Linked DNA regions of Stegostoma tigrinum. The protein of the gene in region 1 binds, or shares a complex with, the protein of each later gene. Links are inferred from orthologs where the notes say so. Each region holds a gene or a part of one and is shown in the gene's direction. Other genes may lie near its edges.

Region 1 (7,984 bases):
GCAAAGTTTATTGGGAAACTAGTAGACTGGGAAAGCTTTAAAGGGCAACAGAATGCCAAAAACAATTATAAAGAAAAATAAAATAGATTGTAAGAGTAAGCTAGCTCAAAATATAAAAACAGGCAGCAAAAGTTTCTATAGATATGTAAATCGTAAAAGTGTGGCAAAGGTAAACATTGGTCCTTCAGAGGATGAGAAGGCCAGTTTAATAACTGGGAATGTGGAAATAGCCAAGACATTAAACAGTCATTTTGTGTCGGTCTTCACAGTGGAAGACGCAAATAACATGCCGAAAACTAATGGCAAGTAGGTTATAGCAGGTGAGGAGCTAGAAACTATCATTACCATTAAGGAGGCAATGCTGGGCAAGCTAATGGGGGCTAAAGGTAGACAAGTCTCCTGGCCCTGATGAAATGCATCCCAGGGTACTAAAAGAGGTGATGGGGGAAATAGCAAATGCACTAGTAATTATTTACCAGAATTCACTGGGCTTTGGGACAGTTCCCGCAGATTGGAAAACAGCCAATGTGACGCCACTGTTTGCAAAAAGAAGAAAAAGACAGTATAGTTACCTTTAACTATAGGCCGGTTAGCTTAACTTCAGCAGTGGGGAAAATGCTTGAATCTATCATTAAAGAAGAAATAGCAAGACATCTGGATATAGAACATAGAAAATTATAGCACAGTACAGGCCCTTCGGCCCTTGATGTTGTGCCGACCTGTCATACCGATCTGAAGCCCATCTAACCTACACTATTCCATGTACGTCCATATGCTTGTCCAATAATGACTTAAACGTACTTAAAGTTGGCGAATCTACTACCGTTGCGGGCAAAGTGTTCCATTCCCTTACTACTCTCTGAGTAAAGAAACTACCTCTGACATCTGTCCTATATCTTTCACACCTCAATTTAAAGCTATGCCCCCTCATGCTCGCCGTCACCATCCTAGGAAAAAGGCTCTCCCTATCCACCCTATCTAACCCTCTGATTATTTTATATGTTTCAATTAAGTCACCCTCAACCTTCTTCTCTCTAACGAAAACAGCCTCAAGTCTCTCAGTCTTTCCTCATAAGACCTTCCCTTCATACCAGGCAACATCCTAGTAAATCTCCTCTGCACCCTTTCCAAAGCTTCCACATCCTTCTTATAATGCGGTGACCAGAACTGTAAACAATACTCCAAGTGCGGCCGCAACAGAGTTTTGTACAGCTGCAGCATAACTTCTTGGTTCCGGAACTCAATCCCTCTATTAATAAAAGCTAAAACACTGTATGCCTTCTTAATAGCCCTGTCAACCTGGGTGGCAACTTTCAAGGATCTGTGTACATATAAATTCTCCCACTGGGAACACACAGCATGGGTTCATGAAGGGTAGGTCATGTTTAACTAATTTGGTGAAATTCTTTGAGGACATTACTTGGATATGGACAATGGGGAGCCTGTGGGTGTGGTGTATCTGGATTTCCGGAAGGCATTTGACAAGGTGCCACACCAAAGGCTGTTGTATAAGATAATGTTGCACAGCATTACAGGTAATGTATTGGCATATAGAGGATTGGTTGACTAGTGGAAAGCAAAGAGTAGGGGTAAAGGCGTGTTTTTCTAGTTGGCGGTCAGTGGCTAGTGGTGTGCCTCAGGGATCAGTGTTGGGACCACAATTGTTTACAATTTACATAGATGATTTAGATTTGGGAACTAAGTGTGGTGTGTCAAAATTTGCAGATGACTGTAAGATGAGTAGTAGAGCAAAGTGTGCAAAAGACTGAAAGTCTACAGAGGGATATAGATAGCCTAAGTGAGTGGGCAAAGGTCTGGCAGATTGAGTACAATGTTGATAAGTGTGAGGTCATCCATTTTGGTAGGAATAACAGCAAAATAGACTATGTTTTAAATGGTAAAACATTGCAGTAGAGGGACTTGGGTGTCCTTGTGCATGAATCGCTAAAAGTAGGATTGCAGGTGCAGCAGGTAATTAAAAAGGCAAATGGAATTTTGTCTGCCATTGCTGGAGGGATGGAGTTTAAAAACAGGGAGGCTATGCTGCAGCTGTATAGGGTCCTGGTGAGGCCACACCTGGAGTACAGTGTGCAGTTTTTGGTCTCCTTACTTGAGAAGAGATATACTAGCACTGGAGGGAGTGTAGAGGAGATTCACTCGGTTGATTCCAGAGTTGAGAGGGTTGGGTCATGACGAGAGGCTGAGCGGGCTGGGGTTATACTCATTGGAATTCAGAAGAATGAGGGGAGATCTTATAGAAACATATAAGATTATGAAGGGAATAGATAAGGTGGAGGCAGGGAGGTTGTTTCCGCTAGCAGGTGAAACTAGGACTAGAAGGCATCGCCTCAAAATAAAGGGAAGCAGATGTAGGACTGAGGTCAGGAGGAACTTCTTCACCCAAAGGGTTGTGAATCTGTGGATTCCATGCCCAGTGAAGCGGTTGAAGCTACCTCACGGAATGTGTTTAAGACAAGGCTAGATAAATTTTTGAACAGTGAAAGAATTAAGGGTTACGGTGTGTGGGCAGGTAAGTGGAGCTGAGTCTCAAAAAGATCAGCCATGATCTTATTGAATGGTGGGGCAGGCTCAAGGGGCCGAATGGCCTACTCCTGTTCCTAGTTCTTATGTTAATAAGCTTCAAAAACCCAGTCAATAACCCACTCAATAACACCCTAAATAATCCATAAAATATATCACTAAATCCCCAAAACCTCCTCAATGACACCCTTAAATAATACATTAAAATAAATCACTAAATAATCCCCAAAAAACCTCCTCGATAACACCCTAAATAATTCTTTAAAATAAATTACTAAATAATCCCCAAAATCCTCAATACCACCCTAAATAAACCATTAAAATAACTCATTAAATAATCCCCAAAAACCCTCCTCATAAACACCCTAAACAAACCATTAAAATCATCCCCCAATCTTCCTCAATAATATCCTCAATAGACCATCAAAATAAATTCCTAAATAATTCCCAAAAACCTCCTGATCTCTACTGAGCTCAAAAAAATCACTGAAAAACACAATGGGTCAGGCATCATCCACAGACAGAGAACAAGCTAATGTTTCAAGTCTGGATGACTCTTCATGAAAGCTGCCAGGAATACATCCAGTAATGGTTTTGTCTTTTGGATTTCAACATTGAATCCTATTGGCTGTAAAGTGCCTAAGTGGAAGCCTGGCTGTTGTTGGTTGAACTTACATTGTGTATCTTTGGAGAAATACAGCAGTCCCAATGCAAATGTTAATATGAGAACCATATGGTTTATTAAAATGGCATGTGACTGGAAGGTTGAAGTTGGAGTCATTCTTATGGACAGAGCAGAAGTGTTCTGCAAAGTGGTCAGCCAGTCTGCAATGCAGAGGAGACTGCATTATGAGCAGCAAATACTGTAGATTAGATTGAAAGAAGTACAAGTAAAATGCTGTTTCACCTGGTTTGTGTATTTGGTGCCTTAAGCAGTGAGGGGGAATGTAAATGGAAGGTAAATACACCTTCTCTGGCTGCACGGGAAGGTGCCATTGGAGAATGAGGAAGAGTTAGGAGTGATCTAGGATTGGGCCAGTATCTAGTGGAGTTCCTGTGGAATGCTGACATGGGAGGTTAAGGAAAGATTTATTTGATGGTGGCATCCTGCTGATGGCTGCAGAAATGGCAGAGGATAATCCTTAGAATTTAGGGACTGGTGGGGTGGAAAGTGAGGTTTAGACGAACCCAATTGTTGTTGTGGAAGGGAGGGGAATAGGTGAGGGCAGACGTGGTAGAGGTGGGTCAGACATGGTTGAATGTTTGAGGGTCGTGTCAAACATGATGGCGTGGAGTATCCTTAGTTGAGCAAAAATATCATATTAGAGGCCTAGTGCAAGGTAATATCATCAGATCAGATGCAGCAGAAACCGCTCAATAATGCCGACTGATGCTTCAGCTTTAATATTGTGTATGATATCAAAGATCCATTGAGGCAGAACAATAACAAAATAGGGCTCTTTTACATTCAGTTTGAAACACGCATACTTAAATTCAAGATAAGGATATTGAGGTTAAATAAAACCAACTACGGTATGTCATGTGTGAGGAACAAATCATGGATCCCTTGAGCACAGAAGCAGGCCATCAAGTCCATACTGATCCTCTGAAGAGCACCCCATCCAAATCCTTTCCCTCTATTGACCATGGCTAATCCACCTACCTTACACTTCTCAGGATACCTGGGCAATTTAGCATGGCCAGTCCAACTAATCTGCACGTCCTTAGACTGTGGGAGGAAACCCACACAGTCAGGAGAGAATGTGCAAACTCCACGCAGACAGTCACCTGAGGCCGGGATTAAATCTAGGTACTTCGTGCTGTGTTTTAGCAGTGGTAACCACGGAGTCAAGGAAGATTGTTTGTGAAAGTGGAATAAATGCTGTGGAATTTGATAAGATGTGACAGCCACTGAAAGAAATGCTTTAAAATTAATAATGAAACTTTATTCAGTGGTAGACGAATTCCCTAGGAAAAGTGACCCATCTGTGGCTGACCAAAATTCAGGATAGTATCAGATTAATTTAGCCAAAGTGTGAAAATTGTTAAGTCCAGGTTCTGGAGCACAAGAATAAGCCTCATTACAATTGGACAGGAAGAGCAGAGGTCCTGCTGTGTGGATTCTTGGTCTTCAAATGTCAAAGGAATGGGATTCGATGGGCCGAAAGACCTCCTCTGTGCTAAATGACACTGAGATTGTTTGTTTGGAGGGAACAAGATGGATGATTTCCTGAAATAAAGTGGCCTGTGTGTGATGAGAATAATGTGGGTCAGAGCTCTCTGCAGTTACAGTCAATGTGAATGTGTTCTTAGTGCAAGAAGGAGGAGCTACTCCATCTATCCTTCAGAGCTATCGACGCCCAACTCCTCTACCTGGCCGTCGGAGCGGTGTTCGATTGCAAAAGGCTGCAGGAGGTGGGAAGGGAACAGATGGACAGACAATGCAACCAGTGGAGAGCAAAGACTGGGAAAGTGGATCTGTGATTGGTGGAGACTGGAGAGGGCGGGACGTGGAACTGAAGCGGTGAAAATGAGGTGAATGAGGGAGAGAGGGAAGGAGAGATGAGGGAGTGAGGAGGAACAGAGAGGGAGAGATGAGGAACAGGGAGGGAGTGAGGAGGAACAGAGAGTGAGGGCTGGAGAGATGAGGGAGTGAGGAGGAACAGGGAGGGAGAGTGTGAGGAGGAACAGGGAGGGAGAGATGAGGAACAGGGAGGGAGGGAGTGATGAGGAACAGGGAGGGAGGGAGTGATGAGGAACAGGGAGGGAGGGAGTGATGAGGAACAGGGAGGGAGAGATGAGGGAGTGAGGAGGAACAGGGAGGGAGAGATGAGGAACAGGGAGGGAGTGAGGAGGAACAGGGAGGGAGAGATGAGGGAGTGAGGAGGAACAGGGAGGGAGGGAGTGAGGAGGAACAGGGAGGGAGGGAGTGAGGAGGAACAGGGAGGGAGGGAGTGAGGAGGAACAGGGAGGGAGGGAGTGAGGAGGAACAGGGAGGGAGGGAGAGATGAGGGAGTGAGGAGGAACAGGGAGGGAGGGAGAGATGAGGGAGTGAGGAGGAACAGGGAGGGAGGGAATGAGGAGGAACAGGGATGGAGGGAGGGAGAGATGAGGGAATGAGGAGGAACAGGGATGGAGGGAGGGAGAGATGAGGGAGTGAGGAGGAACAGGGAGGGAGGGAGAGATGAGGGAGTGAGGAGGAACAGGGAGGGAGGGAGAGATGAGGGAGTGAGGAGGAACAGGGAGGGAGGGAGAGATGAGGGAGTGAGGAGGAACAGGGAGGGAGGGAGAGATGAGGGAGTGAGGAGGAACAGGGAGGGAGAGATGAGGGAGTGAGGAGGAACAGGGAGGGAGGGAGGGAGTGAGGAGGAACAGGGAGGGAGGGAGGGAGTGAGGAGGAACAGGGAGGGAGGGAGTGAGGAGGAACAGGGAGGGAGGGAGTGAGGAGGAACAGGGAGGGAGGGAGAGATGAGGGAGTGAGGAGGAACAGGGAGGGAGGGAGAGATGAGGGAGTGAGGAGGAACAGGGAGGGAGGGAGAGATGAGGGAGTGAGGAGGAACAGGGAGGGAGAGATGAGGGAGTGAGGAGGAACAGGGAGGGAGGGAGGGAGAGATGAGGGAGTGAGGAGGCACAGGGTGGGAGGGAGAGATGAGGGAGTGAGGAGGAACAGGGAGGGAGGGAGAGATGAGGGAGTGAGGAGGAACAGGGAGGGAGGGAGAGATGAGGGAGTGAGGAGGAACAGGGAGGGAGGGACGGACAGATGAGGGAGTGAGGAGGAACAGAGAGGGAGGGACGGAGAGATGAGGGAATGAGGAGGAACAGGGAGGGAGGGAGAGATGAGGGAATGAGGAGGAACAGGGAGGGAGGGAGAGATGAGGGAGTGAGGAGGAACACGGATTGAGAGATGAGGGAGTGAGGAGGAACACGGATTGAGAGATGAGGGAGTGAGGAGGAACACGGATTGAGAAATGAGGGAGTGAGGAGGAACACGGATTGAGAGATGAAGGGGAGAACTGAAGGAACAAGAGGAGTTACAGCAAGAGAGAAGTGGAGCTTCAGGGGATGGGGAGAAATGGGAGCCGGTTCTGCATAAATTGGGGCCCTGGACCCCAGTGAATAATTGCTGAGGTGGTACCTTCACTGCTGACTGAACCCTTTGCCAGTTATATAACCTTCACATCCACGTGTGGCCTGTCTGCAAGGAGATTGTTGTTGAGTTCCATTCCTTTATTCTCAGTCACTTGATACAACAATGTTCTCAAATTCTCAATGTTACAGGTTTTTTGATAAGTTGCTTTCAAGAACGAGATAGACAGATCTCTTAAAGGTAGTGGAATCAAGGGTTATGGGGATAAGGCAGGAACAGGATACTGATTGTGGATGATCAGCCATGATCATAATGAATGGTGGTGCTGGCCCGAAGGGCTGAATGGCCCACTCCAGCACCTATTGTCTATTGTCTGTTGATGTTTCATGTGACATTAACTGAAATACAACTTGGATGCAAATTGGAAATACTTATCGGGATAGTTTAGAACAAGCTTTATTCTCTCTCTAACTGGGTGCTAGCCCTGCCCTGAGGTTTTTTGACTGGGACATTGTTGAGGGACATTTACTTTCTGTTTAAAACAGTAGATAGAGAATTGTTTTGTGTCTAACCCTCTAGTCTTGCATGTGTTTGATGGAGACAATGTAGAGGAAAGTTTCCTTTCAGTTTAAAAGAGAAGATAGCAGGCACTTTAACTCAGAATTTAACCCCATGCTGTGCCTGGGAGTGTTTGATGGAGATAGTTCGAGAGACATTTTACTAGCTGTTTAAAGGAGTAGAGGAAGCGTTATTCTGTTTCTAATCCTGTGATGCCCCTGTCCTTGGAGTGCTTGGAATGTACAGTGTAAAGGGAGCCTCAATTTCCGTTTAAAAGGCTCTGCATCAACCCAATGATGTACCTGTTAAAAGAGCTTTTTAATAGGGGAAGTGTCAGGGGAGCCTTACTTGGTTTACTTTCAGTTTAAAAGAGTAGAGACAGCTTTACTCTTTATTTAACTCTGTGTTGTACCTGCCTTGGGACTGTTTGATGAAGACAGTGTAGAAGATGCTTTACTTTGTGTTTACTAAGCAGAAGAAATTTATTCTGTTATCTAACCCCATGCTGTATGTACTGTCGCTGAGCTTGGAGATGACACAAATTAGGTGGAAGGGTGAGTGATGATTAGATGCTATAGAAGGATGTGGACAAGCTAAATATATGGGTAAAACTTGGAAGATGTAGCTTAATATGGGAAAACATAAGAGAATACATTTTAGCAAGAAAAATAAAAAGGCTGAATGTTACTCAGACGGAGAAGGACAGCAGAAAGCTGTAACACGTGAATATCCTTGTACATATTCATAAAATACTAATTTACAATTTAGTAGGTTATAGGGAAGGCAAATGGTTTGTTG
Region 2 (7,034 bases), on another chromosome or scaffold:
GAAGATGCCTCAGGATAACCTGGGAAGTTGTACCCTACATTTCCTGGATGTTAGATGATCACCTGTGTCTGCAAGGACCAGGAGACAGTTACATTCCTAGGCCTTATAGCCTTTTGTGAACTCATCAGATAAAGTCAGTGTTCCTGGATACAATGGGTGGTGCTGGTGGCATCATGGTAATGTTCCTGAATTATTAATCCAGAAATCCAGGGAGCATGGTTTAAATCTCACAAAGGTATCTGATGAAATTTAAATTCAATTTATAAATTTGGAATTGAAAGCTTGTCTCAGTAATGGTGACCATGGGACTATAATCAATTATTGTAAAGATCCAGGGATAGTAGGAACTGCAGATGCTGGAGAATCTGAGATAACATGGTGTAGAGCTGGATGAACACAGCAGGCCAAGCAGCATCAGAGGAGCAGGAAAGCTGACATTTCAGGCCTAGACCCTTCTGAAGCAGGGTCTAGGCCCAAAACATCAACCTTCCTGCTCCTCTGATGCTGCTTGGCCTGCTGTGTTCATCCAGCTCTATACCTTGTTATTGTAAAGATCCAGCTGGTTCACTGATGTGCTTCGGGGAAGTTAGCTACAAGTGAGTCGAGACCTGCAGCAATATGGCTGACTGTTAATGGCCCTTTGAAATAGCCTAGCAAGCCACTCAGTTCAACAGCAGCTATGGATGAACAACAAATTCTTGTGCAAAATCCCATGAAAAGATGTTTTTAAAATCTCAGGAGCCTTAATGCAATCCCCAAAATGCTAACTCTATGGTTCACTCAGTTATAAGAACAACTTCAGGCTGATGATGTGAGATAACCAAAGAGAAGAACAGCATCTCCTTGTTGTAGAGAATACATTCTGCTGCTTTCACTTCAGACAGCCATGTCAGCACCTATTTGGGATATGAGACAAATGTTCAAGGAATGCATATTTACATTCGTGCAGTGTGTATACATCGCTTAAACACCATGCCACTAATGCGTCCTCAAAATGTATTTTTGTTCTGCTTCCCACTATGTCCAGGACCTGTCCTACATCTGCAGCTGGGGAAAAAGGGAGCTCGCTAACTGGTTATGCCCTTTTCACAATGAAGGGCTTGACAACATCCACTGGTAGCTCTAGGGGCCTGGTCTCCTGAAAGTCCTCATGCACAGATGCAGGCACATTATCTTCAGCCTGAGTTCTTGTAAATAGTGGAGTCCCTAGCAGAGGGGAGGTGAACCGACCACTTGTGGAGTGACCTGAGGCAAAGCTCTTTGTGTTCATGGCAGTCATTTTTCTTCCCTGTGGGTGTCTGCTGGCACCACACTGTCCCCTTGAGAAAACGGGACACCTGGAATGAGGCTGAGGTATCCCGTTCTCTCTCACTTTATCATACATGCTGTGTACCTTTGACTAGAGTGATGGAGTGTAGGCTCGAGAACAAACATGGCAGCCCCTGAGGATTTTGATGGGAGGATTTTGATGGACTTGACTCTCCAATACAGCCACCACACTTTCCACATAGGCAGCCAAATGATTGCACGCTGAAGCCATGACAGCAGTTGGATGGACTCAGCCATCTTCTGCACAAGACTAGTGAGGACCTTCACTATCATGAGCTGATGTTTCTCTACCTCTTTCTGCTGAGAAATGGCAGCGATCAGAGTCACATCTTTTGCATGTAGGCTCAACAGGTGCCTGGTCTCCTACAGTCCTTTGAGTAAAAGAAGCCTTGGGCATTTCTTCCTCCTGCAGCAGTCGACTCATGTCAATGATGTGCTCACCAGATTGTGTCTCTGCGTCATATTTAGCTATTGCACCCTTCACAATGTCACTGATTCAGCTGGACTCTGATTGTGGGATCTTCATCTTGGGACCACTGCTGGCTGCTCATACCTGTTGAAGAGTCAAGTAACAATTGGTTGCCTGATATGCACAATGCCTGATAAACATAAATGTGCGAGACTGACATGCATCTGAGAAGAGCAAACAGTAATGCTCCTTGCTAGCTTGTTTTTCCATTCTGATTTTATTGTCTTGATCAATGCATGACAGCCCATGGTTCTCATGCTAGCTCTCTGGCTTGTTGTTTAAAAGTCATGATGATTTGGATATTGGATACCTCTGCTGGTCTGAACCCAGTCCCTCCTGTTGTGCACGAGCTTGTCCTGCAATGAATGAAAGGGAGAGATTGAGTTTTATGACAATGGGTGTTCAAGTACTTTGTGAGCATGCATAACCCTGCATGATGGGCCTGCTGTTTAAATAAGCAGGAAACACAGGATGACTGTGAGTCCTTCAGTGCACATGATCCTGAGTCTTATAGATGTATGTGATGTGCCTGTCCAGTGACACAGTTAGACTGAGTGTTTCCCTAATTAATGTTAACCATAAATGAGAAGATGGTGACGTTCACCCTTTCCTGACCCTAGAAGGTCGTTCATTCTTTCCTTGCATTTCACTTCATAGAATCCCTACAGTTCAGAAGCAAGCTGTTTGGCTCACTAACCTTTTGGTAAGCATCCCCCAACCAGACTCACATCCCCTCTCCATAACCTTGCATTTCCCACAGCTAAGGGCCTGTTCTGTGCTGTATTGTTCTATTGTTCTATGTTCTAATCCACCTAACCTGCACATCTTTGGACTGTGGGAGGAAACCAGAGGAACTGGAGTAAATCCATGCAGACACAGGGAGAATGTGCAAACTCAACACCGACAGTTGCCTGAGGGTGGAATCAAGCATGGTCCCTGCCACTGTGAGGCAGCAGCGCTAACCACTGAGCCACTGAACCACTCCTCAATGATGGCCATATTCACTGACTTACACTGGGACCTTGGATATCACAGACCTTGTCTGATATGAGACCCTGGTGTCATGCCCCTTTTTGTGGATGGTCTGCAGTATAACTTCTAGCAAAGCATTGTTAAATCCTGAGCCCAAGCTGTGCCTGGTCTGTGACCTCTCCAGGGATATGGGGGTGACCAATCTAAACCCCTCTGGTATTCCTGATTTGAGGTGAAAGGCTGCCTTTGTGACCTTTAACTAAAGGGCAAGCACCTTTGACCAAGAAGGTCCTGGCAGGTGTGAGAACTTCTGCTCCACCCAGCCAATGTGATTCATCATTTAATCCATGCTCAAGACGCATACACCCAACTCACTCTGGGGTGTGGCACAAGAGACTAGCTCAACGACACCCAACACTTTTGTTACATCCAAAATAGAAAATCCTGTTCAATCTAATCCTGCAATTCTAGAACTTTTAACACATAGGCACTCAAATTTTGAGAACAGGATGTGACTCAGAATTCTAGCATTTCAACTGGCAGAATGGTCTTGGGTTAGTAAATGTATGTATGATTTCTGACCTCAATAAATATTGCACTTTTCCTGATCAAAATTAGCTTTTTGGAAACAAGAAACAAAGTGTCTGGTCATCTCTTAACTTAGATTCAGCAGTGTATCAAGGGACAATGTGAGTCTATAACGCTGACGGTGCCTTAGCAGATGGAGAAAGTACAAGTGTGAACCAAAATGCTCAAATGATACAGTTTGATTCCAGGCTTCTATAGACCAGGTTTAGCAATTTTCAGGAGAGAAATGGTATCTTGATGACACTTTTGTGTATTCAAGTCACAATTGCACAGATCTCACCAGGTGAAATGATATTTGCTGTCCTGCTGGCAAGTTGAAGAGAACATTTGGAGGGTCAAACGTATACGTCAGAATATCATCAAAGGAATAAATTGCATTGAAAGTCATTGATTTCATTGGGTTAGAGTTGTGATAAGGTAAATGAAAACACTTTCATAATCCCAATGCAGTAGACCTATAGCAAATATTGTATTCTTTCCTAAGAAATTATAACATTTAGAATGTTTAAAGTATTTAATCTTGCACTCTTGCATTTACTGTAAACACAAACAGAAAGCAACTGGATAGTTGAGTGTTGATGGAGTGGTTTGACCACATTTTTTAGCCAGTGTAGGCAAATATTTAAAGGAATGTGAAAATAGTAACTGCTGGTAGAGTGGAGATCAACACCTATAAGAGAAGAAATGGGTTAACAGCTGTGTTAACTTTCATTAAAATGCTTCAGAGATCGATTTCCGATACAGAGCTATACATTATATGTTAGTTACGTGTTAACTGGTGAGTAATTTTCAAAGGTTGATTGTCTTACTATTGTTGAAAATGCTCTCTTTTCAGGTTCTGTCTCTTTCAAATCTGCAGTCACCACACCTTTTCTCAAAGAAAGTATTCCTTGACCCCCCTGTCCATCTATAAGTTTCTTTACCACTCCAAAGTCCTTGAAAGTGCTGTCATCTCCCAAAATCTGTATACAACTTTTCTAGAACTTACAGTCTGAATTCCTTTGATAATAAGGTGTAGAGCTGGATGAACACAGCAGGCCCAGCAGCAACAGCCTGCTGAGTTCATCCAGCTCTACAACTTGTTATCTCAGATTCTCCAGCATCTGCAGTTCCTGCCATCTCTGAATTCCTTTGATCAGGTTTCCACCCCTGTCTCAGGACCAAAGTATCTCCAATGAAAATCACAAATGATATCCTAAGTGACAATGACAAAAGTAAAGTTACTGGCTGTTTTCAAGATTTTACTGCTTTCATTTCAAGCCTTTTAACATTCATTGTTATTGAAATAACTGCACAGAGGCTGGTATACCATCCCCAATTCGCTCATTTTTTACTGGTGCATAGTACCGTACTTGACACTGGCCCAGCTTTCGCAGAACCAGCTCTCAGAGTGAACAGAACCTCTGACACTCCAGTTTATATCAGCTAGGGCTCCCTGACTGGAACAGGTTAACAGTCCCAATCAGAGAATTATATTCAATGAGGTCCACCTGGCCAATATTGTTATAGTCACGACAGTTATTATATTTTATTTGAACAAAAATGAGGTTGTTTTAATTTTTTTAGTTTATTTAATATTTATTTCTTTAATATATTTAATTGTTGCCACCTCATTGTAAATATGATAAATTGCAAATTGCATAAAGCTATTAATAGTGGGAATAGTGGGAACCAATATCACAAGATAAGCTCTACCAATCAGGACAGAAGAGTCTAATTGTGGGAGGGGCTTGTGTGTGTGTGTGTGTGTGTGTGTGTGTGTGTGTGTGTGTGCGTGCGCGCGCGCACATTTCAGTTGTTGTTTAGTCTCATGACAAGTCCATGTGGCTGTTAATAACCTGTACTTACATTGAAGTTGAGCCTGATGTTTCATAAGAAACCATTGTGTATCTTAGATGTAATGTAACTAGTTATTAATCAATATGTAATAAACCTTAACTGTTATCGAAAGAAACTCAATCTTCTGCTGAAAATCTTCTATGGGCATCCTTCCCCACTCGGCATTAGTAGCATGACTAATACTAATTGTATTACCAAATATACCAAAAGCACTTTCCTCTCTGAAGTAGACCTTAATTTATGTATATTTTTAATATCACTTATTGTAAGGTTGGGGTTTTTTTTGAGTTGTAACATCAGCTGGGATCAGGACAATTAAGATGAATCTGTGTCTTTCTCATTAAAGTAATGTCTATGAAGTGGTCGTGGTAACTAAAGATGTTTGTTGTAGTGAGGTTTATTGCATGGAAATTGAAAATGGCTTTGAATGGTGCTAAGAGTTTTCTGGAAGTGGAAAATATCTCAGTGGTTTATTTAAAATCTTTGACTAAAACTACACTGGGAGGTATAGCAGGTAAATGGAAGGTAGAAGTAAAAGTAGAAGCTCATAAGGGTGGGAGAAAGGAAACCTGAAATTGAAATGTTGCAGCTATGGTAAGCGAAAATATCATTAGAAATATTTAATAAAAGGATTTGAACTAGAAAAACAGAAAAAAAACAAAAACAGAGAAAATGGAGATAAGATCATTTGGAATGGAAAGAGAACTGCATAGGCTGTGGAATTTGAAAAACTTGAACTCCAGAGAAATTAAACAACATGAGTTGACCACTAAATATCTTACAGAAAAGGGAAGTAGAATATTTGTGGGTGGAAGAGATACTAGTTTTATAGAGCAGACAGAAGGATGCCAAAGCAATAATGGGAAAAGACTGGAACCAAACATTCATGCAAGAAATTAACATGCTTTTATCGTATTAAGACTGGACATACTAAAACCATTGCTGGAAATTACATGCAAGACTGATCGCAGCAATAGGAAGATTTGAGATGTTTTCAGAAAAGGAGAATTAAGAAAGCAAATCAGTCCTAAAGTTTTAGCGTTATGGAAAGAAAACATGTTTCGTTGCGATATTCTAAGAAGGGAATGATGATTTAGGACAGTTGCAAAATCATTTTTAGAGACTGACAAAGAAAAAATTGCTCAAGGTTCTGATTATTTGATCTCAAAAAGAGAGAATTCACTTAATGTTTCAAATTAAGGATGTAAATCAATAAGGATATTGAGAGACACTGGAGCAAGTTGGTCATTAATGTTGGCTGATGATACCATTTTCCAGAGGGGTTGTTAAAGGAGAAAACATTAATTGGAGGTCTTCATAGAGTTTACAAACTAGGGTCATAATACAGCGTTGGATTAAAGAGTGACTTGTTAAGTGCAGAAGTAGTAGTTGGACTGGTGAAACAAATTGACTTGATCTTATTTTGTAAAATGGTCTGGCAGGTTCAAACATATTGGCTTCACCAAGTCTGGTAGAACAAGTAGTGGAGGTAAAAGAAACTGAATGTTACAATAAGGAATATTTCCTGACTGTGTTGTAACAAATGTCACAGACACTTGATCTTTGACACATAAATCAGAAAAGAAGAAAAGTCTATGGAGCAGGAAGTTGATTTGGAAATTCAGTTATTGGATACAGTTTTTAAAAATTTAACTGAAAAGGATAAAGGCAAAGAGAATAAGATTTCTTATTTAAAAGAAATTAACAGGTTTGCATTAGAGTTACACCAAACAGACTACTCAGAAATTTCCTCAGAAAACATTACCAAAGTGTTATTACTTGAAAAATAAAGTCTTAATAAGGAAATGGGGACCATCTCAAATACTGACCAATGAGG
Region 3 (7,664 bases), on another chromosome or scaffold:
GACGATATCTTTTTGCATCCTCCTTTGGCCCAGAGATTCCTGTTTGTTTTGAATTATGCAAGATATAGTCCATGACAAAATAAACAAAGTTGTAAATGTATATTTCCTGTAATTAATCTTTTGAACGGTTTGTAAATGTATTTGTGTCCTGTAACATGCTGACAGATGTGAATCATGGGCATCAGCCAGTCTTGCTGTAGTCTACAGAGAGACCAGCTCCTCTAGCCTGAAACTGTAGGATGCTGTGTCCCTGTTGTATTCAGGGACAGCAACCAGACTGTAACATCAAACAAACATCCTGGTGCAGAGTGTCAACAAGCAGGGTATGATTGGACCTGCCTGGGTTGACCCTCAGATCTGGGATTCTTTATTTTCATGTTAAAAAGCTCTCAGTAACACAAGAAAATGAAGGACAGACAAATGGAGCTCCTCTTCTAGACACCCCTCCACTCAGAAGCCCTGGTCACCAGGACCCCGTCATTCTTGGAATCTGCTGCCCCCTCCTGGGGACAAGAGGGTCACTTGCCTCTGGGAATTGTGCTTGGAGACAGAGTGATGCACCTGCAGAAGGAGTTAATTCCCGTTAAAGCATTGGAGGCTGTGTTTGGGATGGAGGGTGGTGGTCATGCCTTTGGAGCATCAATCACATTAGTTACTTATAGTCCATGTAACATGTGTATAATACTCTACTGGATCCAGCTTACAGTATTCAGCACTCTCTTCAATCCTGCACATAACCTGCAGTCCTCTGGGGTGCAGTGGTACTTTCCTTGACTCTGAGACAGGAGGCCTACATTTCAAGTCGCACCTGATGCTGAGGTGTGTAATGTCACTTCTGGGCAGGTTGATTAGAAAATATTTTTGCTTTATGGTCCTGTACTTTGGCTCTCACCTCCCATCAAGATAAACATTATGATGTAATGAGGGCAATCAAACACAATGTTCCATCATGTGTAGTATTCTCATAGCTACATTATTTTGTACATAGCACTTACTATTAATATGTTACCCTAAATAAGTTATCCTGTCACAAAGTTACACATTCCATTTTGTATTCATACACAAAATACATTATCATATTTTTTTAACTGCCGTAAAGAGTGGCATCCCTACAATACCCTGATGTTTGAGGAGCTGTTAATCCTGATTGCTCCCTTGTTTATCACTTTAGCATCTCTTACTCTTCTGTACAACATCTGACAGAATATTTCACTATTCTTTATAGTGCCATGTGGTGTTCCCTGCAATCAATAACCACACCCTGCCATATACACATTAGAGGCATCGTACCTGTGTTTTACATCTTCATACTTGTGTTTAAAGCTTCAATTTTAGGTAATAGATCACCAAATGATGTTCATCAGGGCCCCAAATCTGTTATTGTGACCTGATCAAGCCCAAATACTGATGTCACGGTCGACCGTTATATTGCGCTACCATGCCCTTTGGAATTGTTCCTGTCCCCTTTGGCTGTCCAACTGTTTGATTACATTCTACTAGGAACAGCAGTAAATGTCTCTGCAGTTGATGTTACAATGACTGTTCCGCAGTAGATAAATGCACAGCTATTGGTAACAGCAGACTGGGACATTATTATTGGAAATTACTGAATGTGCCAGTGACACCAAAACTCAGCATTTGTTTTGTGGAATTGGCATGAAATTTGTGTGAATGAACACCCTCAAAAAATGGACATGTGCAAACAGTGAGTTCTTCGTGAGCGATCCAGGTGACTTGTAATATGAAAGATGTACATGGTACTCGCAAACAAATTACAAAGTACTGACAATCTTCAATCTGCTAGGTTCTTCCACACCTTAAAATGTGACACTCAAAGCTGCTGTTTTTCAGAATCTGCGCTGAGTTGAGTTCACTGCATTCCCCTGACAGATTGTTCCTGTTCTGCCTGTGTTCTTAGGAGGGCAGTCCATGAGGATTTTTAACAGCAGGTTTTGTGAAAGATGGTTGTGGGATGGAGATCCTTGTAGCCAGCCCCTGCACACGTTGCTGTACTTTGACTTAACTCAAGATGATGGCTCTGCAGCACACAGGAGGGCTGGGAAGGGGGTCTCCATATGGTGAATCACCTCTCTTGAAGGCTGTGTAAGGTCAAACGTTGAAAAGCAATTTCTGCCACAAGTATTGCGCATGAAGCTGCCATGAGACCTTGTGGGCTTTTTTGGTGTCTGCTGTCAGGCCATTGGTCTGTCTGGGAGGGATGTCACCATTTCCCTCCTTCGCCAGCTAGGCACTCCCAGCTGTATTCACTTTGGGATGAACAGCACTCTCTCTGGGATAGAATGCTGAGGCCATTTTACGCCAGAGATAGAACAGTTTCCCTGCCCCTATAGGTGGTGGGTAAAGAATTCCCTTTTGCCCTATAAAATTGCAGAGCTATCATTTTAAGAATATGGACATTGCAAAAGGTGGATACCAGTTGCTAAGGGTCTGTAATGTACAGCTTTTAATATACAATAAGCTTATTGTCCAGTCTAGAGACATAGCTGCATGCACTAAATGGGAACTTTATATATACCATGGCTCTCCTACATGGCAGATGCTGAGGAAGTGCTCATCCACCTTGGTCTGAACAGCTTTAGGATTTGAGAATTAAACTCCCTCATGAATGGTGCTTTGGATCGAATGCCATATCAATCATTCCACAGCATTGATCGATGACAATGTCATTGATATGTATGAGTCTCTGTACACTTATTTCTATTAAATGTAAGATATTGTTCTAGATGCATGTAAATTTCTCTTTTATAACCTGTTTAAAACAATAAAGTACTTTGTTGATTGAATTGTTTTCTTTATGATTTGGTTTTGACCGGTAGTGCAGATCCTCATTAAGAACGTTAGCATTGGACACCTAGAAAAACCAACTCCAGGAGATCTCTGCAGGAGTTCCTCAGTGTAGTGACCTCGGCCCAAGCACCTTCAGCTGCTTCGTCAATGACCTTCCCTCCATCAGAAGGTCAGAAGTGGGGATGTTCGCCGATGATTGCACAATGTTCAGCACCATTCATGACTCCTCAGATACTGAAGCAGTCCATGTTCACATGCAACAAGATCAGGACAATTTCCAGGCTTGGGCTGACAAGTGGCAAGTGACATTTGCACCACACAAATGCCAGGCTATGACCATCACCAGTAAGAGACAATCTAACCACCGTCCCTTGACATTCAATGGTGTCACTGAATCCCCCACTATCAGCATCCTGGGGGTTACCATTGACCAGAAACTCACCTGGACCCACCACATTAACAGAGTGGTTACAAGAGCAGGCCAGAAGCTGGAAATACTGCGGTGGGTAACTCACCTCCTGACTCCTCAAAGCCTGTCCACCATCTACAAGGCACGAGCCAGGAGTGTGATGGAATACTCCCCACTTGCCTGGATGATTAGAACCCCAACAACACTCAAGAAGTTTGACACCATCCAGGACCGCTTGATTAGCACTACATCCCCAAACATCTACTCCCTCCACCACCAGACGCTCAGTAGCAACAGTGTGTACCATCTACAAGGTACACTGCAGAAATTCACCAAAGATCCTTAGCACCTTCCAAACCCACGACCACTTCCATCTAGAAGATCAGATATATGGGAACACCACCTCCTCCAGGTTCCCTTCCAAGTCACTCACCATTCTGACTTGGAAATATATCAACATTCCTTCACTGTCGCTGGGTCAAAATCCTGGAATTCCCTCCCTAATAGCATTGTTGGTCAACCCAGAGCAAGAGGACTGCTGCGGTTCAAGAAGACAGCTCACCACCACCTTCTCAAGGGCAACCGGGGATGGGCAAGAAATGCTGGTCTGCCAGCGACGCCCACATCCCACCAAATGAATAGAAAAAAATTGGAAAGAGTCAACATAGTTTAGTCAAAGAGGAACCATACTTAACCAATTTATTGGAATTGTTTGAAGGAGTAACATGCGCTGTGGGTAAAGAGGAGTCTGTAGGCACATGAGGGATCTTGGGGTCCATGTCCATAGATACCTAAAAGTTGCTACCCAAGTTGATAGGGTTGTTAAGAAGACGCATGGTCTGTTGGCTTTCATTTGCAGGGGAATTCAGTTTAAGGGCTACGAAGTTATTGCTGCATGTCTGTAAAACCCTGGTTAGACCATACTTGGAATATTGTGTTCAGTTCCGGGCGCCTCACTGTAGGAAGGATGTGGAAGCTTTAGAGAGGATGCAGAAGAGATTTAACTAGGACGCTGCCGGCTTCCCCCGCAAGTTGCTGGGCGCGCTGTTCTCATAGGTTCCAAGAGGGCGCGCTGTTCTCAGAGGTTCCAGGAGGGCGCGCTGTTCTCGGAGGTTCCAGGAGGGCGCGCTGTTCTCGGAGGTTCCAGGAGGGGGCGCTGTTCTCGGAGGTTCCAGGAGGGCGCGCTGTTCTCGGAGGTTCCAGGAGGGTGCGCTGTTCTCGGAGGGCCGGGAGGGCACGCTGTTTTCGGAGAGTCCGGCTGTTCTCGGAGTGTCCGGGGGTGGGGGTGCGCTGTTCTCGGAGTGGCCGGGAGGTCCCGCTGTTTTCGGAGTGGCCGGGGTGGGGGAACGGTGTTCTCGGAGAGTCCGTGAGGGCGCGCTGTTCTCGGAAGTGCCGGGGACTTTGCGGGGGGGCGGGGGGGGAGGGTGCGCTGTTCACGGCGAGTCCGGGGTAGGGGGGAGGATGGGGGCGCGCTGTTCTCGGAGTGGCCGGGAGGAGGCGATATATCCGGAGTTGCGGTGAGTGTGATAATCACTCTTGCTGCTCGTGGTGTCTGTTTGTTTGTTCCGGGATGAACGCGCCGCCGGCTTTCGAGAGCTTTCTGCTTTTCGAGGGAGAGAAGAAGTGAGTGAGTGAGTGAGGGTGGTGAAGGGGGGAGGGATGGAGGGAGGGTGGTGAAGGGGGAATGAGGATGGGGGTCCGGTCCGTCAGTCTCACCCCAGGGTCAGCTCCCGCTAATTTCACGTCATCCACCGGCCGCTCACCATCAGGCCGCCCCGGTATTGATATTCCATTACACATCGCTGCTAATTTCCTGCAATTAAGTGTTTGGAATACTTGGAGCCATTTTCACCCCCGATCCAAACGCTGCCTGTGGTTACTGACTCCATCCCTTTCCTTGGCCACAGTTTTAGATTAAGCCTGACTGAAACTTTGCTGCTTTATCCGAGATGAGCTTCTCACCTCATCTACCAGACCATTAACGGACTGACCTATCCCCTCCCTAACTACCCACTTACACCCACCTGCCATCCCTGCCCCTTTGACCTGTCTGTCTCCTCTCCATCTATCTTCTCGTCTCTCCATCTTCTATCTGCCTCCCCCCCCTCTCCCTGTTTATTTCAGATCCCTCTTCCTCTCCCCCATTTCTGAAGAAGGGTCTCGGCCTGAAACAGCTGACTGACCTGAGCAGCTTCTCTGTTCCTCTGCTGCTTGACCTGCTGTGTTCATCCAGCTCTACACCTTGTTATCTCAGATTCTCCAGCATCTGTAGTGCCTACTATCTCTGAAACCATTAACACTGCCAGTTTTCAAGTCGGTAGGACCTTTCATCTGCTGAAATCTGGTGGCCATGGGTACCCATATGGGCCCAAGCTGTGCCTGCCTCTTTGTAGATTACATGGAACAGTCCCTCTTCCGCATCTACACAGGCCCCAAACCCCACCTCTTCCTCTGTTACATTGATGACTGTCTCGGCACCGCCTCATACTCCCAAGAGGAGCTCGAACAGTTCATCCACTTCACCAACACCTTCCACCCCAACCTTCAGTTCACCTGGGCCATCTCCAGCACATCCCTCATCTTCCTGGACCTCTCTGTCTCTATCTTGGGCAACAACCTGGAAGCCGATGTCCATTTCAAGTCCACCGACTCCCCAGCTGCCTAGAATATACCACCTTCCTGCAAAGGTTCCATCGCCTATTCCCAATTCCTTGGCCTCCGCCGCATCTGCTCCAAGGATGAGGCATTCCACTCCCGCACATCCCAGATGTCCACGTTCTTCAAGGACCGCAACTTTCTCCCTGGTGGTCGAGAACGCCCTTGACTGCGTCTCCTGCATTCCCCGCAAAACATCCCTCACACCCCACCCCCGCAATAACCGCCAAAACAGAATCCCCCTCCATCCTCACATACCACCCAACCAACCTCCGGATACAACGCATTATCCTCCTACGCTTCCACCATCTACAATCCGCCCCCACCACTAAAGACATTTTTCCATCCCCACCCTTGTCTGCCTTCCGGAGAGACCACTGTCTCCGTGACTCCCTTGTCCGCTCCACACTCCCCTCCAACCCCACCCCACTTGGCACCTTCCCCTGCAACCGCAGGAAGTGCTACACTTGTCCCCACACCACCTCCCTCACCCCCATCCCAGGGGCCAAGATGACTTTCCACATCAAGCAGATGTTCACCTGCACATCTGCCAACGTGGTATACTGCATCCACTGTACCCATTGTGGCTACCTCTACATTGGGGAAACTAAGTGGAAGCTTGGGGACCGCTTTGCAGAACACCTACACTCGGTTCGCATTAAACAAATGGACCTTCCAGTTGCGAACCATTTTAACTCCCCCTCCCATTCCTTAGAGAACATGTCCATCATGGGCCTCCTGCAGTGCCACAACGATGCCACCCGAAGGTTGCAGGAACAGCAACTCATATTCCGCTTGGGAACCCGACAGCTCAATGGTATCAATGTGGATTTCACAAGCTTCAAAATCTCCCCTGCCCCCGCCCCCCACTGCATCCCAAAACCCGCCTCCCTACCCTGCTCTTCCTCTCACCTATCCCCTCTTCCAACCTCAAGCCTCACCTCCATCTCCTACCTACTAACCTCATCCCGCCCCCTTGACCTGTCCGCCCTCCCCGACTGACCTATCCCCTCCCTACCTCCCCACCTATCTTCTCCTCTATCCATCTTCAGTCTGCCTCCCCCTCTCTCCCTATTTATTCCAGAATCCTCTCCCCATCCCCCTTTTCTGATGAAGTGTCTAAACCTGAAATGTCAGCTTTTATGCTCCTAAAATGCTGTTTGGCCTGCTGTGTTCATCCAGCTCCACACTTTGTTATTCCTTCATTATTTCCTTACAGCTGGACTGTCCTGATGGTCTTTCAAATTATTCATCTCATTTGACACTTAAACGAAAGGCTTTCTCTTCCTTTCACGTGTTGAGTAATGCTAGCGCGAAAAATCTCAGTACTGATGCTCCTTTGAATTCTCTTCCCCCCCTTTCCCTTTCACTCCATCCCTTCCACTAATCCAACTTTTCACCATATATTCACTGTACCCTCTGACGTTCTCCTTTGTAATGCAAAATTATCTGTGCTCACCTAAGGGTAAAAGAGTGTCCAGGGAGAGAATAGGGCTCCTTAAAGATCGATGAGGCTGTCTATGTGTGGAACCACAGGAGATGGATAAGCTATCAGTCGAATATTTTGTATCTTTACTGTGGAGAAAGGCATGGGAGCTAGGGAACTTGGGGAAATAGTGAAAACAGTCCATATTACAGAAGACGTAGTATTGGAGGTCTTAAAATGCATAAAAGTAGATAAATCTGTGGAACCTGACTTGACATTGTCGGGAGCTAGGGCAGAAATATTTGTATCATCTACAAACACTGGTCAGGTGCCAGAAGTCTACCAAGTGGATAATGTTGTGCTCCA
Region 4 (6,862 bases), on another chromosome or scaffold:
ACTCAGGGGTAGTATATCTACCTCTGAGCTAGAACACCCAGGTTCTTGTATCACCTATCCTAGACAAGCACCATAACATGTCTGAACAAGTTGATTCACTGAAAATATAACCAACATTTTTGTAGTTGAGATGATCAGAGGATTCGGCCTCTAAGCAGGAAGGATGAGGCGGCGTTGGAGTGAAGTGCTTGAGGTTGAGAATTCCACTGAACATGTCTGAACAGTCAAGTGAAGTGAGACTTGAGATGAGAAAATAACGTGCCCTGAGATTCAGGGTGTGTAGGCAGGTGGAGGCTGGAACTGGTTGACAATTTCATATTCCACTGGATACGGTTCGTTCTCTTCCATTTCTGATAGCAGTTCCAGTGCTTGTTCCTCTTCCTCAGTTGGGTAGTGTCGAAGGAGGTTAGCAGCCGTCGCCAAAATGGATGCTCCTCCAGCACCTGCCACTAAGTAAAAGCTAACTGCAAAGGTCACATAGACACGGGAACCATGATATTTTTTGTGTTGCTGCTGAAGTGCGAGGATTAATTCTGAGGCCCAGTAGCAGAATCCAATCACCGTGGCACACTGCAGAACTGCAAACAACAAACAAAGACAGTGAGTGGAGCAAGGATGGTGGGTGCCAGAACAAAATCTGAACAGAACTCATGGCTAATTCATCCTTATCCACCAGGCTTCAACACCATAAGGTTTGTTGCCAGGATTCCAAACAGAATTGGAAGGTTATGCAATGAGATGCTCCTCGAAGTACAGACAATTTAGTGAACCAATCAGCAGGAAACATGGGAAACAACTGGGGTCTAACTGGAAGCCTAGCAAACAAAGCCATCATTCTCACCGGGAAAAAGGAGGAAGGAAGACGCATGTGGGGTAGCATGAACTGGAGTAGGAAAGGGTAGTGATGTGTATCAACAGAGTTTGTACATGCAAAGAGAGTGCTCACAAGTGGTTGGAAGGGGACAAGAGATGGAGTAAGGACACTAGGGTAAGACTGCAATCTTGTCTCCGAGTGAACTGAGGTGTAAACAGGTAAACGTTCACAGCGAAGTGGGTACACGGAAATCATTTTCTCCTTTTTTCAACTTCATACCCACAAAGCGGGTTGCAACAGCACAAGCTTAAATGTAACCTGCTCCTGATGCCCACTTTTCTCCTAACTCCACTGAAGTCAGCTGGAAGCATGCAATACCAAGTCTGAGTATTTTGGTTGATATTTGTTTTAAATTCAACCAAGCCCAAGCTCAATCTCCACTCCCTATCCTGATTCTCACCCCAAAAGCTGAACATCTGATGTTTGACACATTTTTACAGCCATTTTAAGTTATTTATTTGCATTATTCTTTGTTCGCTTGGAGTTTTTCTCTGAAATTCATGTTTACTGCAGTGCCAAATCACCCCTTATGAAGAAAGGGAACAACCCTGCACCAAACAATGGCAGAACAATTATGATTAGTCAGTTCTGAATAATAAACACAGGCAAACAGCTCTTTCACATAATTCATGGGACATGGGCATTCTCTGCTTCAGCCTGCATTTATTGCCCATCCCTAATTACTTAGAGGACATTAAGAGCAATTCTTCAGAACGTTTGGATGAAGAGTCACGGGACTTGAAACAGGAACTCTACTTTCTCCCACAAGCGCTACTGGACGTGAATTTCACCAGCAATTTTCATTTTTGTTTCAGATCTACAGCATCAACAGTCATGTTTCATTTAGAAAGACGGAAAAAATATGTACTCAAAAGAAAAAAAACAATATGCTAATGAAGGGCCTCCTGCTCATGCACTTCAGCAGCAGAGCTGAAGGAGGAAGTCACCAAGTACTTATGCACTTCATATTAATGCCACAAATGCTGATTCACAAAGTAGAAACATCTTCCTTCTGAGGATGTAATCATTTCAAAAGCACCTTGCATAATGGTGGTTTAAGGGTTAAAAATAAAGCCAGATCAAGATATCACATTTACAAACATCTAGTTTCACTTGGACATACCTGTGAGAATATGAGCAAAGGCATATCTACGAGTAATCTTCAAAGCTGGATGTTTTGGTCCAAATACATCAAGGAGAAAAGCAGACAAACTGCAAATAATCCCCAGGAAACAGAAGGCACCAATGACCCGCAACAGGAGCACAGTCTGATGGTTCATACAGTAATCTGGAGACCAAAAGATTGAGTGTCAGGCCGTTTCACCAAATAATCAACAATCAAGCAAAATTCAAGATCATTGAAACTAAAATAAAACAGAAGGTTTTTTTAAAAACCATGACTGTAACTTTCCACTAACTTCAACTCATTGTTTAACATCAGAGGGAAGAAAATCTTCCTCCTTATGTCAAGATTCATGTTGCAAATGGATTTCTGTGGCAGCGTTCTGGAAAAGGGTCAATGGACCCCAAATGGTCACACTGATTTTGCTCCACAGATGTGGCCAGACCTGCTGGAATTTTCCAGCAATTTATTTCTTATCAGTTGGTACTTTGTTGGTCAGACTCTTGCCTCTGAGTCAGAGGTTATGGGCTCAAGTCCACTGTTGGACTCACAACAAAGATTCACATTTCACTGCTCAATTGAGGGAGTATTGTGTGGTTTGACATGCCCTCTAGACACAATGGAGCCTCTCTCAGGTGGACAACACATATTACAAAGCACCATTTCAAACGACAAGTAATAAATCGCTCGACTTCTGACCAGTATCTGGTATTAAAGTATCACGTAGTTCAATGGTTAACACTGCTGCCTCACAGCACCAGGAGCTCTGGTTCAATTCCACCCTCGGGTGAATCTGTATGGACTTTACATTCTAACCAGGTTTGCCTGGCTTTTTTCCAACTGCTCCAGTTTCCTTTCACAATCCAAAAGATATGCAAGTTATTTGGATCAGCCATGCTAAATTGCCCGTAGTGACCAAGGATGTGCAGGCTACACGGATTAGCCATGGGAAATACAGGCTTGCAGGGATAAAGTTGCGGGGTTTGGATGGGATGTTCTTCGGAGGAACTGTATTGACTCGAGGCACCAAATGGCCCCCTCCCCCACAGGGTTTCGGACGATCTGGTCACTGGGACCTTATTTGCTGCGCTGCCGGATTTGGGACACCTCGTCGTCGTGAAATGCGCGTTTTTCCCTCGGTATCGTGGACAAGTAACAAGTCCCAATTTATCCTTCGAGTGTGGTCAGGGAATCTGACACAGTTACAATCTTGAGAAACTAAAATGTCCAACATCGAGGCAGTGAAAGAGGAAATACGGAATGCATTCCGACGATACCGAGCCGAAGCGTCAGCACCGCCCTCTCCTCTCGGTCTCCACCTACGCTCACATATTACCTTCCCAGTTCATTACCTTCCAGCAGGGCCGAGTCCAGGCGTCCCAGGACATCCGCAACACCGAGCTCCTGCCGCGGGCACATACCCCCGTGCGCGCGCAGCCAGGCCGGTTCCGCCAGCGCCGTGCACAGCGCAGTCACCGAAAGCGCGCCCGGCACCGCCGACGCCAAACTCCGCTCCGTTTGCTTCGGTAGAGCACCCCCAGCTCCGGAACGCCGGCGTGATCCTGACAGACCGGCTCCCGCAGGTCCATACATTGTCCTTTCCGGCCTGGGCCGCCACAAGAGAACAACGAACCACCGAAACTCCGATATCAGTAACGGACGACGACGACGACGACAATAAACGATTCCAGCGCAGCCATCAGTTTCGCATCCGTTTTCGATCCGGATGTGACGTCTGAATTGTTGGGCCAGACTGCGCCTTGGTGATTGGTGATATCTGCGCTTGATGGACGGGGGTCTTAGCCAATAGAAACTGGATACGGGCAAGACCTCTAACCAATCCGGAGCAGGAGTGGGTGTGGCGACGGCGCTTCTGGTTCGGGGGAGGTCACACGCGCGCCTGGGATGAAGTGGCGGTTGACGCTCGAGTCCCGCTTCTTGGCGCATCCCGACTCCCGGGCCTGGTATGTGGCCTGGAGCCCGAGCGGTACGCTGCTGGCTTCGTGTGGAGGCGATCGGGCAGTGCGTATCTGGGCCAGAGAAGGTGCGGGCGGCTTCCCGATTGATCTGCCGGGGCGGGGGGTACGAGGCCTGGACAACCGCATTTCATTCTCCCGACTCTTGTTTTTCCACACCCCCCAGGGGCCTCCTGGCTGTGCAAGTGCCTCCTGGAAGATGGGCACCAGCGGACCGTGCGGAAGGTCTCTTGGTCGCCCTGCGGTACCTACCTGGCTTCGGTCAGCTTCGACGCCACCACCTGCATCTGGAGGAAGAAGGAGGCCGCATTTGAGGTAGTGCACTCTGAACTCCCGCGATGGCTTCATGGTTTTTGTTGCTGGACTCTTCATCCAGAGACCCAGATAATGTTCTGGGGAGAGATAGTGGGAACTGCCGATGCTGGAGAATCTGAGATAACGTGGTGTGAAGCTGAATGAACATAACAGGCCAAGTAGCATCAGAGAAGCAGGAAAGTTTGACATTTCAGGTCGAGACCCGACACGAAACGTCAAACTTTCTTGCTCCTCTGATAATGTTCTGGGGACCTGGGTTGGAATCCCACCATGGCGGATGGTCGAGTTTGAATTCAATGTCTGGAATCAAGAATCTAATGATCGTGAATCCATTGTCGATTGTCAGGAAAAACCCATCTGGTCCGCTAACGTCCTTGGGGGAAGGAAACTGCCATCCTTTCCTGGTCTGGCATACGTGTGACTCCAGACCCCAACAATGTGGTTGACTCTTAACTGCCCACTGGGCAATTAGGGATGGGCAATAAATGCAGTCAAGCTAGTGATGCCCTTACCCTGTTCATGAATTTAAAAAAATCACTTTATTGGGGAATAGGTGTTGAGGACAGAATCTTGTCATGAAGGATCATTCATTTAAGACAGAAACGGAGGAATTTCTTCTCCCCTGGGCTAGTGAATTTGTGAAATTCTTCACTGCAGACAACTGTCAAGATTGGGTTATTAAACGTATTTGAGAATGAGAGACAGATCTTTAGTCAGTAAGAGAAGGATGTTGCGAGTGTTGGAGTCTTTGAGCTATCAGGAGATGCTAAATAGGCCGGAGCTGTTTTCCCTGGAATGTCAGAGGTTGAGGGGTGACCTTATTTATAGAAGTTTGTAAAAGTATGGATAGGGTGAACAGCTAAGGTTTTTTTACCCAAGGTTGGTGAGTCCAAAACTAGGGGGCATACGTTAAACATCAGAGGGGAAAGATTTAAAAGACCTTGGGGCAACTTCTTCATGCACAGGGTGGTGCGTGTACAGATTGAACTGCCAAATGAACTGGTGGAAGCTGGGTCAGTCACAACATTTATAAGGTGCCTGGATGGGTATATGAATAGGAAGGGTTTTGAGGGATATGGGCCAAATGCTGGTAAATAGGATTAGATTAATTTGGACTATCTGGCTGAGTTGGACTGAATGGTCTGTTTCCATGCTGTACAGCTTTTATCAGTCTGCAAGACGCAGATGAGCAGAACACCCTGCCAAACCCACTGCTATCGTTGCGTTCTGAAACGGCTTTTGGAAATAATGTTTTCAAAATAATGCTGGCGACATTTCTGGCAGCAGTTTTATTTATAACTTGAGTCTTGTGTCAGCTTAAAACATGAGATAAAGTTGTTAGTTACATTGGGTCTTCTATGAACTGTTTGAATGGAATGGACTCGGTATAAGTTTGAGCGTTTGTTTCTCAGGCCTAGTGTTTGTTTTCATAGCTTTTGACAACACTGGAAGGACACGAGAATGAAGTGAAATCTGTCGCCTGGGCTCCATCTGGCAATCTCCTTGCAACTTGCAGCCGGGATAAAAGTGTATGGGTTTGGGAAGGTGAGAAGATATTTTGCATAGAATACCCTTTGAAAATGCCATTCTGTAAAAAGCACCCGAGACACCTGTCTTAAATGGTGGTAGAAGCAGAAACCGCTTAATATTTTAAACAGTTGGTGGAGATGCACTTGAAGTTCTGAATCTTAAAAGCAGACTCAGCTGGCACAAACATGCTGGGCTGGAAAGCCTCTTTTATACTTGAAATTTGCATAATTCAATGAGATATGTCTTGGCTGTTGAGCCTTAAAAGTCACCCACGATATTGATAATTTGTATAAAGGGTGTATTCTTTCATGGGCTGTCCCAACTTGTTAAGACTCAATGACTGTGATTGGTGAACTAGTAAGAATTGCAGGTTTCCATAGCCAAAAATCATCCATCAAATTAATACACACATTAATAGTATTATGGTCACTGTTGCTCAGATCTGTTTTCAGTTCCATATTTTGTTAACTGAATTTAAATTTGACTGGCTGTCCTGTTCTAAACCCACATTCTGCAGAACGTTGACCTTGGCCTGTCAATTCCGATTGTAATGATGTCAACCCTCTGCCATCAACTCCTTTAAAGATCATGTATTGTCTCAATGATAACGAAGCACAAGACATAAAAAAATGTAGATGGGAGAAAAACGTTACAAAGGCACAATAAACCTTGAGTGGATGCAAGAGTCAAATAGAATCAGATTTCACATAAAAACTGAAAAAGCTGCGGATGCTGTAAATCAGGAACAAAAACAGAAGATGCTGGAAAAGCTTAGCTGATCTGGCAGCGTCTGCGGGGAAAAAAAATTCAGAGTTAACATTTCAGGGCTAGTCACTGGCTAAACCAAGACATAACTTCCATCCAGAGCACTGTTTAAACATGTAACTTCCCTTTTGCCCCAAAAGGTGTGGCCATTGCAAAACTTGATTTATGATGAGATTGAGTCTGAGATACTGAAGAATAATGTTCCAACTGCATTAACAGTTTCAGAAACTAATCAGGTGATGCAATAGACTCCAGGACCAGTTCCTTGTCCTGTTTCAT

What was found.
Region 2: the proteins of ercc2 (region 1) and mnat1 are in contact, whole or in part, in a crystal structure (PDB 6TUN), measured with the Homo sapiens proteins. The link is inferred for Stegostoma tigrinum from reciprocal best matches to the Homo sapiens genes ERCC2 and MNAT1. Residues at the interface, in NP_000391.1 of Homo sapiens: Lys274, Tyr285, Ala318, Val319, Pro320, Gly321, Ser322, Arg324, Thr325, Glu327, His328, Arg334, Arg335, Glu338, Gln363, Arg364, Val365, Cys366, Gln368, Lys370; in NP_002422.1 of Homo sapiens: Val68, Glu71, Val72, Arg75, Lys76, Leu79, Arg85, Glu86, Leu92, Tyr95, Asn96, Asp97, Leu99, Glu100, Glu103, Glu104, Phe107.
Region 3: ercc2 (region 1) and polr2j share a complex: the UniProt entries of both Homo sapiens proteins name them as parts of the TBP-based Pol II pre-initiation complex. The link is inferred for Stegostoma tigrinum from reciprocal best matches to the Homo sapiens genes ERCC2 and POLR2J.
Region 4: ercc2 (region 1) and ciao1 share a complex: the UniProt entries of both Homo sapiens proteins name them as parts of the MMXD complex. The link is inferred for Stegostoma tigrinum from reciprocal best matches to the Homo sapiens genes ERCC2 and CIAO1.

What each region holds. Positions count from the first base shown.
Region 1 is NC_081392.1:21,346,450-21,354,433, forward strand, and holds the start of ercc2 (general transcription and DNA repair factor IIH helicase subunit XPD), read left to right. Parts: upstream 1-4,983; 5' UTR 4,984-5,071; coding exon 5,072-5,076; intron 5,077-6,417; exon of another isoform or gene 6,418-6,752; intron 6,753-7,984. UniProt on the Homo sapiens protein: ATP-dependent 5'-3' DNA helicase. Component of the general transcription and DNA repair factor IIH (TFIIH) core complex, not absolutely essential for minimal transcription in vitro.
Region 2 is NC_081363.1:30,268,862-30,275,895, reverse strand, and holds the start of mnat1 (CDK-activating kinase assembly factor MAT1), read left to right. Parts: upstream 1-4,032; 5' UTR 4,033-4,136; intron 4,137-7,034.
Region 3 is NC_081380.1:9,533,328-9,540,991, forward strand, and holds the start of polr2j (DNA-directed RNA polymerase II subunit RPB11-a), read left to right. Parts: upstream 1-4,660; 5' UTR 4,661-4,678; coding exon 4,679-4,734; exon of another isoform or gene 4,735-4,787; coding exon of another isoform or gene 4,788-4,840; intron 4,841-7,664. UniProt on the Homo sapiens protein: Core component of RNA polymerase II (Pol II), a DNA-dependent RNA polymerase which synthesizes mRNA precursors and many functional non-coding RNAs using the four ribonucleoside triphosphates as substrates.
Region 4 is NC_081393.1:10,328,654-10,335,515, reverse strand, and holds the start of ciao1 (probable cytosolic iron-sulfur protein assembly protein ciao1), read left to right. Parts: upstream 1-3,848; 5' UTR 3,849-3,902; coding exon 3,903-4,041; intron 4,042-4,139; coding exon 4,140-4,288; intron 4,289-5,721; coding exon 5,722-5,833; intron 5,834-6,862. Other genes in the region: tmem127 (transmembrane protein 127), read right to left, coding at 271-578, 1,998-2,162, 3,350-3,590. UniProt on the Homo sapiens protein: Key component of the cytosolic iron-sulfur protein assembly (CIA) complex, a multiprotein complex that mediates the incorporation of iron-sulfur cluster into extramitochondrial Fe/S proteins.